Coturnix japonica: one gene and its partner. The protein of the gene in region 1 interacts with the protein of each later gene in a biochemical or structural test. Links are inferred from orthologs where the notes say so. Each region holds a gene or a part of one and is shown in the gene's direction. Other genes may lie near its edges. The genes, in order: KDR and SHC2.

The links.
Region 2: the proteins of KDR (region 1) and SHC2 form a complex in vitro, tested with the Homo sapiens proteins (2 studies listed by BioGRID). The link is inferred for Coturnix japonica from reciprocal best matches to the Homo sapiens genes KDR and SHC2.

The regions. Positions count from the first base shown.
Region 1 is NC_029519.1:58,810,263-58,814,067, forward strand, and holds part of KDR (vascular endothelial growth factor receptor 2), read left to right. Parts: intron 1-689; coding exon 690-846; intron 847-2,027; coding exon 2,028-2,148; intron 2,149-2,684; coding exon 2,685-2,793; intron 2,794-3,494; coding exon 3,495-3,805. UniProt on the Homo sapiens protein: Tyrosine-protein kinase that acts as a cell-surface receptor for VEGFA, VEGFC and VEGFD. Plays an essential role in the regulation of angiogenesis, vascular development, vascular permeability, and embryonic hematopoiesis.
Region 2 is NC_029543.1:1,744,461-1,748,866, reverse strand, and holds the start of SHC2 (SHC-transforming protein 2), read left to right. Parts: upstream 1-1,573; 5' UTR 1,574-1,658; coding exon 1,659-2,216; intron 2,217-2,736; coding exon 2,737-2,807; intron 2,808-3,100; coding exon 3,101-3,161; intron 3,162-3,322; coding exon 3,323-3,442; intron 3,443-3,521; coding exon 3,522-3,575; intron 3,576-3,781; coding exon 3,782-3,833; intron 3,834-3,982; coding exon 3,983-4,109; intron 4,110-4,201; coding exon 4,202-4,367; intron 4,368-4,406. UniProt on the Homo sapiens protein: Signaling adapter that couples activated growth factor receptors to signaling pathway in neurons. Involved in the signal transduction pathways of neurotrophin-activated Trk receptors in cortical neurons.

The DNA.
Region 1 (3,805 bases):
TAGAGCAGAGCACTTAATGCTTAGCTGGGGGGATGAAAAGCTGGGGCTTCTCTCTTGGGCCTTGCTGCAGGATGTGCTGATAAAGAGGCTTCAGGCTTGTGTTGTTGTGGCGCTACATGGTGGGTGTGTTTTTGTTTTCTGCATGTTATTTCTTTGCCTCCGTGTCCTGTCATTTTCCTGTCCTCCTTGCTCCCCGGTGCCTCCCCCACTCCACTCCATCCTGACCCTGGTCTGCCTCGCCCATCCTTCCTGCTCTATGCCGGCTGTCCCTCATCTTCTGGCCTGCCCCACACAGCCCTCCTCCTCTTCCTCCCCTCTGCTTCTCAGGAAACAGCCTTTCTCCTGTGCTTTGAAAACAGCAGGTCTTGGAAAGGGCAGTGAGGTTAAATTCTGAAGTGTAACAAACATTTAATAGCTGGGGATAGGGGCAAGACCTCAAGGACTACCTTTTAAGCATGGGAGTAGAGAAGGGAGATCTCAGTGGAGACATTAAGCATGGCATCTTGAGATCCTGATCCTCAAGGCATTGGGCAGGTTCAACACTTTCCATTGCATATTGTTCCTTGGAGGTGCTCTGCTCTGCACTCAGATGTCCCCAGCTTCTATAGGAACAAAGTGACATGGGGTGTGTGTATACAGTGCCATTGGGAAGCCTTGTGGGAGGTGTAATATCCTGCTCTCTCTTCCAGTTCCCCCCCAGATAGGCGAGAACGCGCTGATGGCCCCTGTTGACTCCTACAAGTACGGCTCAACGCAGGCACTCACCTGCACCATCTATGCTGTCCCACCGCCTGCTGCTGTCTTGTGGTACTGGCAGCTGGAGGAGGAGTGCACCTTCAGCCCCCAGTGAGTGGCAGTATTGGGGCTGGGAGCTCACGGTGGTGTTGCTTTGTGTCTGGGCTTCGAGGTGAGCTCAGCTGAGCTGGGCTGGCGGTTTGGAGCCTCCCTGTGCTATTATAAATACTGGACAGAGAGTGGTGGACGCTGAAGCGTTCAGCCCTAGGATTTGGTTTTGCTCCCTCTTAAGTCATGAGAGAGCTTTTGCTGATGACACCTGTAGGCTCAAAATGACTTCAATTGCCAACTAAGATGGTTGTTGTACTCAATAGGCAGTCAGGCTCTGCTGACTCATGGACAGGGAGTTGAGAGACAGGGGCCACCTGTGGTGAGGAGCTGGCAATGCTGGCTTGTTGCCTTCAAGCCTTCTTCAAGGGCATCTTGAGCCATGATGGGTTTTAAATACAGCTATTTTTATTCCCCCACCCCAGTCAGCTCTCCCATTGGGCTCAGTCCCAAACACAGGAAACTTGCTGTTTATGCTAATTGCAGACCTTTGTGGTCTTATGCTCCAGCGCTGAGTGTGACAGTGCTCTTTATCTGTGTGAAAGTGTATCTCAAAGGAAGTGCACTGATTGATGTTGGGGAAAGATAGAGAGAGTGCCTGACTGAGATTCACGCAGCTTCCCTTATCTGGGTCTGCCATAAGCCCAGGTTTCCTTTAAAAAAAAAAAAAAATCAAGAAAAAAAAAAAGCATTCTTCTTTCCTGTTGTTGTTTTTAAAGAGATTTCCACAAGTTTCTTCCTTTGGTGCCTGGTTGTTTCCTACACAATGGCTACTGTCCTCAAGAAATTCTTGTAGGGAGTTCAGTGATTTCTATGTCTCTCTGTCTTCCTTTGAACTAAATTAACTCGAATCTTGCATTTATGAATGGAGGTTTGTTCCCAGAATAGCCGCTTCCCTCCAAGCATCCTGATGGAGCTGACACAGGCAGATTAATTAGGGAATTCACCTTTCAGCTTGGGGGCTTCTTGTTTTACAAAGCACAAAGGTCTTAGAAGGTTACAGGGTTGAATTTAATAGAAATATTTCGAGAAACATACTTTTTCCCACCAAAATGTAGGCTGTAGCCCGTGATCCATCTGATCTGTTGATCAGCGTCTTCATATTATAGGGAAAACACAAAAACACATTAGGAAAGGACTAATGTTTCCTGTGGACTAATATGTCACTTCTCTTCTTGTCTCAGAAAAGTTCGCCTGGGAGCCAATCCATATGCATGCAGAAAATGGAAAGTGATCTCAGAGAGAAAGGGTGGGAATCAGGTTGAAATCAAACAGAGAGTTGTTACTATTGCTGGGAAAACAAAGGTGAGAAGATTTTCTTTTCTGTTGATTAGGAAAAACTAGATCTGTTCAGCAGTCAGAAGTGTATCACTAGAGATGGGAGTCTTTATGTAATGTTAAACTGGGGGATCTGGCCTCTGATCATATAAGCTCATATAAGCTCATATTGAAGCTAAGAGGTAGAGATGGACACTTGAATCTTTAGACACTTCCCCAGAGCAATTCTTCATTGTGAAGCCTGTTTACATTTCAGCACTTTTCTTTAAGGGGGGCAAGTTAGTTTTGTCAGTTAATAAGGAAAAGCTAGGAAAACTAAAGAGCAGAAAAGTAGTGGGTACAGTATTTATGGACATGAACACCATATCCTATTTTTTGTTGTTTTCTTTTATCTGATTGTCATGTACTTAAGCATGTGAATATCAGTAAGGGACCGTATAGCCACTATACTATGGAGAGTGTTTCAGTCAGCAGAGCATTTTGCTGAGCTGTTGTGGTGTTCAGACTCATAAAGGAACCTTAACACTGATGTGGTATGAAATTTCTTGTTTGTTCCCTTGTAGACTGTAAGCACCCTTGTGATTCAAGCAGCAAATGTATCTGCTTTGTACAGATGTATGGCTACTAACAGAGCTGGATCAAGTGAAAGAGTCATCTCCTTTCACGTGACCAGTAAGTACACCTTTCTGAGGAGTCATGTTAAATTAATGTTATTTTGTATTTCTTACTACTTAGACGTGCTTCTACACTATTATCTGATTCTTGTCCTTTATAAAATCCTTTAATCTTATTGAAGGTTTTCCTAGAGCAGTTTTTAAAGTCACCAACTAACTTCAACCAAAACATTGGTTCTGCTGGCATCAGTGGAGTGGCAGTCCCATGAAAATCGTACTAAGTGGGCACCAATACCCGAGAGTGATTGCTGTTGGGTTTCTGTAGTCTTTTAAAAGAGATAGAGAAAAATATGGGTAGTTTCACAAAAGGAGCTGTGATGTGCTGTAAAAGCTAAGGCTAAAATTTTCACAACTGCTGGCAAAGAGCTTCTGTCCTCTTGAAAATCAGTTCTCATATTCATGTATATTAAATCCATATCAAAAAAAGAGCTGTAAGATAATGTTAAGAATCAGCAGAAGTTTCTGTTGAAAGAACTGTATTAAGTAGACAAGACTTTCTTTAATCTATGTAAGTTTATTGCTTTTAATAACCACTCTTTACCTAAGTGGTTAACTGATTTTTCATTGATTTCTTCCTTCATTTAAAAATAGACAAGATGAGGATAATACTGTATTTGTAAAAAGGCTTTTCAAACCCATGTTGGCAACAAAACATGCAGCCTCAGAAGAATTTTCTTTTCTATTTTTCTTAACGTGCAGGAGGTCTTGAAATTAATCTCCAGCCTCGGAGTCAACTGACAGAGAAGGATAACACGTCCTTACAGTGCACAGCTGATAAATTCACTTTTGAGAAGCTATCGTGGTACAAACTCAGCACTCATGTCTCACAGACACCTTTTGGAGGGCTGCCCATGCCTGTTTGCAAGAACCTGGATGCTCTGCAGAAGCTGAACGCAACTGTTTCAAATGTCAATGGTGAAAATGTCACCTTAGAACTCATCCTCCGTAACATCTCCCTCCAGGATGGAGGCGACTATGTTTGCATTGCTCAGGACAAAAAGGCTAAAACA
Region 2 (4,406 bases), on another chromosome or scaffold:
GTCAGCTGCCTTGGAGATGTGCATGTGAACCTGGCAACATGGAGGGAGACTCAGTGCTGGGAATGAGGAGACAGCAGAGCTTGTTTTTCTTACATCAAGCACTTCTGCTTGCAGAATGCTCAATGCTATGACCAAATAAAACCTGGAGCTGCCCCATGGAGCTTGCAGGAGTCCAGCGTGTTCCAGCACTTTGCAGCAGTTTAAAAACCAAAGCAAGAAAGGCAGAGAGAAGCTAAGAGATGCTGTTCCTAATATGGCAACAGCAAATGTATGTAATTCTATTACCCTGATTTATCGATTGCACTTAGAGCGATTACTGGCTTTCACCCCCATCATCTGCCAGGGAGAAGGAGACAGTGAAGAGAAGGCGAGATAAAGGCAGCCAAGCATTGTCCAGGTCACTGTGAGCCCCCAGGGAGGCTCTGGTTCTGTCTGTGGGGCAGAGACCTGACCCCTCAGCAGCACAGCATCCCTCTCTGTCCTCATCCTTCGAAAGATGCTCAGTTGAAAATGGAAAGGCAGAAATAAACAGCACCCGAGGGAGGACTCGAGGTGAGGAGGTGGCTCCGGGCTTGGTCCCCAGTGTGTGAGTCATGCTGGGAGCCCCCACAGTGGGTGCGATGCCTCATGCAGGCTGCCTTGGCCTCCTGCCCCTCTGCTCAGATGCTGTGGGTGGATGCCAGGCTGGACAGGAGGTCTGAGTCCTTTGAATGCCTGAAAAAACAAAAAGCAGGGCTGGGGGAGGGGAGTATTACATGATGGTTTGAGGTCAGAAAGTCCCTTTAAATGTGTCTGTCCATCCCCCCAACCCCCCCCCAGCTTGCTGCAGATACTGGCAAAGAAGCAAGAAAATGATTGTGCTTTTTACTGCCTGAGCCCTCCAGGCAGATATAAACAAGTGGGAGCCAGACAAAATCAGAGTGGACAAGACCACTGGGTTGGGAGGCACGGAAATAAGCCAGCCCTATTGTACAGCAGAGCCCCCCCTGCACCCCTCCACCTCCCAAGCAGCCTCAGGCACCCTGCAAATGCTTCTTGGTGATGGAGTGGTAGAAGAATGGAGATAATGTACCCGTTGCAGGTGAAGGCAGCAGCCAGATGCTGCTGGCCCCTTCCAGAAGCTGCCTGCTGGCCACTGGGGGCATCCCTGGCATGGGAGGGGGGCATCTGTCAGCACAGGCAGCCCGTTTTGTGCAGGAAAGAGCTCATCCCACCTCATCCTCGGGTGTCCACTATTCAGTTGGCTCTTTTGGGGCTCCCATCGTTGGCAGCAGCCCAGAGGGGAGCACAGCCGGGGTGGCTGGGGGCCGGGTGATGCTGGGGGGTGCCAGGGAGGGGCTCGAGGCTGGGTGATGCGGGGTGATCTCGGGGTTGAGTGATGCTATAGGGTACCGGGTTGGGCTCGGGGTGCTGCCGGGGCCGGGCTGCCCGTGCCGGGGGGGGGCTGCAAGGACGGGCAGTGGGGCCGGAGAGGGCGAGAGGCGGGGATGCTCAGACAGCCGGGAGGGGCCGGGGCGGGCGGCGGAGCGCTCTCACCATGACATCAGCGCTGCGCGGCCCCGGGGGAGCGGGTGGGGGGCGGGAGCCGGCTCGGTAGCGGTGCGGGGCGCTGAGCGGCGCCGGAACGGGAACGTTCGGCTCGGCCGGGGCGGCGGGGCATGATCCCCGAGCCCAAGTATGATCGCTTTCGAGACGAGCCGCTGAGGGCCGCGGCCCGGCCACGCCATCCTCCGGCCGCCCCGATGCCGGCTCCGGCACCCGCGCATCCCGGTGCGGCCCCGGGGCTGGCACAGCCGTGCCCCGCTGCGAGCGAGGAGCCGGAGGCGGGTACCACGTTCTGCATGCTGCTGCCTCGGATGCCCCAATGGAAGTTCCCCGGTCCCGGTGGTTTCCTCAGCCGAAGCCCTTCGGGTTCCAGCAAGGAGCTCTCCTCGCCGGCCAAAGCGGGAGGAGCCGTGGAGTCCGGGGGGGCTACGTCCAGCCTGGCCGCCGTGCTCGGAGCCTGCGAGCCGGGTTGCTCGGCTCCGTGCTCGCTGCAGGTGATGAGCCGGCTGCGCGGAGGGGCCGGGGCTGCCAGGAAAGCGGCGAGGGTGGAAGGAGCCCGACCGGCCGGGGATGAGTGGAATCGCAAGGGCAGCTTCATCAACAAGCCGGCCCAGGGCTGGCTGCATCCCGACGAGCGGGTGCTGGGTCCTGGCGTCTCCTACATCGTCAGGGTAAGTGCTGCCAGCCCCGCTCCTCTCTGCTTGGTGCGGGTAGGTGTGAAGCCCCAAGCCCGCAGCTGGAAGCTCCCTCTGCTCACCCATCCCTGTGACACGGTCCCAGACTCTTGAAGGACTGGGCATGACTCCTCTGTCCTGGGATGGGCAACGTGGGGAGCCCCTGTAGCCAAGCAGTGCTGTGCTCTCATGGCGTGCATCCCTGGGCCTGGATGCTGCATGGTGGGAGCCCATTGCACAGCATCACCTGGGTCTCCATCCTCAGTGCAAGGGCAACAGAAATGGTCAGTGGGCCCAGAGGCCGCTGGCCTTGCTCTGGACCAACCCACCCCCGCACAGTGCTCAGAGCCTCGGTTTTCCCCATCCACATGTTCATCTCTGTGGGTACGGGATGCTGGCTGCCATCCACTGCTACACAGAGGAGCCCTTGTCACCGACACCTGCCTCCTCTCCATCACCTGCATTGGGGCTGGTGATATTCCTTGAGGTTTCTCTGACCTCCCCTCCCATCCTGCAGTACATGGGATGCATCGAGGTGCTGCGCTCCATGAGATCCCTCGACTTCAACACGCGGACACAGGTCACCAGGTAAGACCTGCAGAGATTGAGGTCGGTGCTGAGGTTGGGAGGAACTGTAGGGGCCACTCCATATGCTTAGACAGAGGCAGCAATGCAGTGATGGGCATCGGATCAATGGGTGGAAAGAGGAGAAGGGAGGTGGCCCCGGTGGGGATGACGTACCACCAGCCCTGTGACCCTGGGGGAGGCTGGGGGACATTGCGGCTGCTTGGGGATGATACTCCCAGAGCTACAGGAAGGGGAAGCAGCCAGGAAACAGCTGGGATCTGCAATGGTAATGCTGTGGGACTTGGGGCTTGCAGAGAAGCCATCAACAGACTGTACGAGGCAGTGCCGGGTGTGAAGGGCATCTGGAAGAAAAAGGTGAGTTTCCACCTGAGCCCATTCCCTCTCTGCTTTCTTAGGGTTGGGGTTATGGTTGATCCCAGTGCAGAGCCTGGGGTGTTGGGCACTCTGTGTCTTCCCCACCCCATAAAGGCTCTTTGGAAGGGCAACATCACCCCTGTGCTCCTGTCCCCCATCAGGCTCCCAGCAAAGCCCTTTTCTCCATCCTTGGGAAGAGCAACCTCCGCTTTGCAGGCATGAGCATCGCTGTCAACATCTCCATTGATGGCCTGAACCTCATGATCCCTACCACGCGCCAGGTGAGAGCCAGGCATCCCAACCCTCTGCCTCCAACCTTATCTCTGAGCTGGGTGTTGATGGCCTCCCCATGCCCTGCAGATCATCGCCAACCACCACATGCAGTCCATCTCCTTTGCCTCCGGTGGGGACATGGTGAGGCTCTCACGTCCCAGCCCTGCACTCAAGGAGTGGGGACGTGGGGCTGCCCATCCCATGGTGGGGCCAGACTGAGCCAGAATTCAGGGACAGCCCAGTCCTTGGGGCTGGAGCAGTCAGGGCTGAGTCTGGTACTGGCAGCCTCAGCCCCGCTCTACACACAGCAGCAGGACATGAGCCCCAAACACCCTCTGTGTCCCCAGGACACCACGGACTATGTCGCCTACGTCGCCAAGGACCCCATCAACCAGAGAGGTGATGCTGATTCCCGGGGCATGGAGAAGGGATGAGTTGGGCTGGAGGAGGGCACCTCTTGGTGGGGTGTGAGGGGCAGCTGGGGGCTCTTTGGGGGGCTGCTGTGAGCCTGGGGGAGGGTTCAAGTCCATTCACCTGCCTGTTTGCAGCCTGCCACATCCTGGAGTGCTGCGATGGGCTGGCACAGAGCGTCATCAACACGGTGGGACAGGCCTTTGAGCTGCGCTTCAAGCAATACCTGCACAGCCCACCCAAGGCTGTTGTACCCCCAGACAGGTAGGGCTGGGGTCCCTCCATTCTTTCTTGTGCCTTGTCCTTGCTTGGAGTGGGGCTGTGTCTCCAGCTGCCCCTGCTGTGTTCTGCACAAGGGTGCTGGGGATGGAGGAGTCAGCGTGGGGGGAGGATGATGAGGTGGCCGAGCACGATTACTACAACAGCATCCCAGGCAAGGAGCCACCCCCAGGGGGGCTGATCGACTCCCGTCTCCAGCACAGTGCATTCCCTGGCCGTATACGTGTTCAGCCCTCTCACCAGGTGAGCCCTGGAGCCACTGCTAACCCCACAGTGAAGACC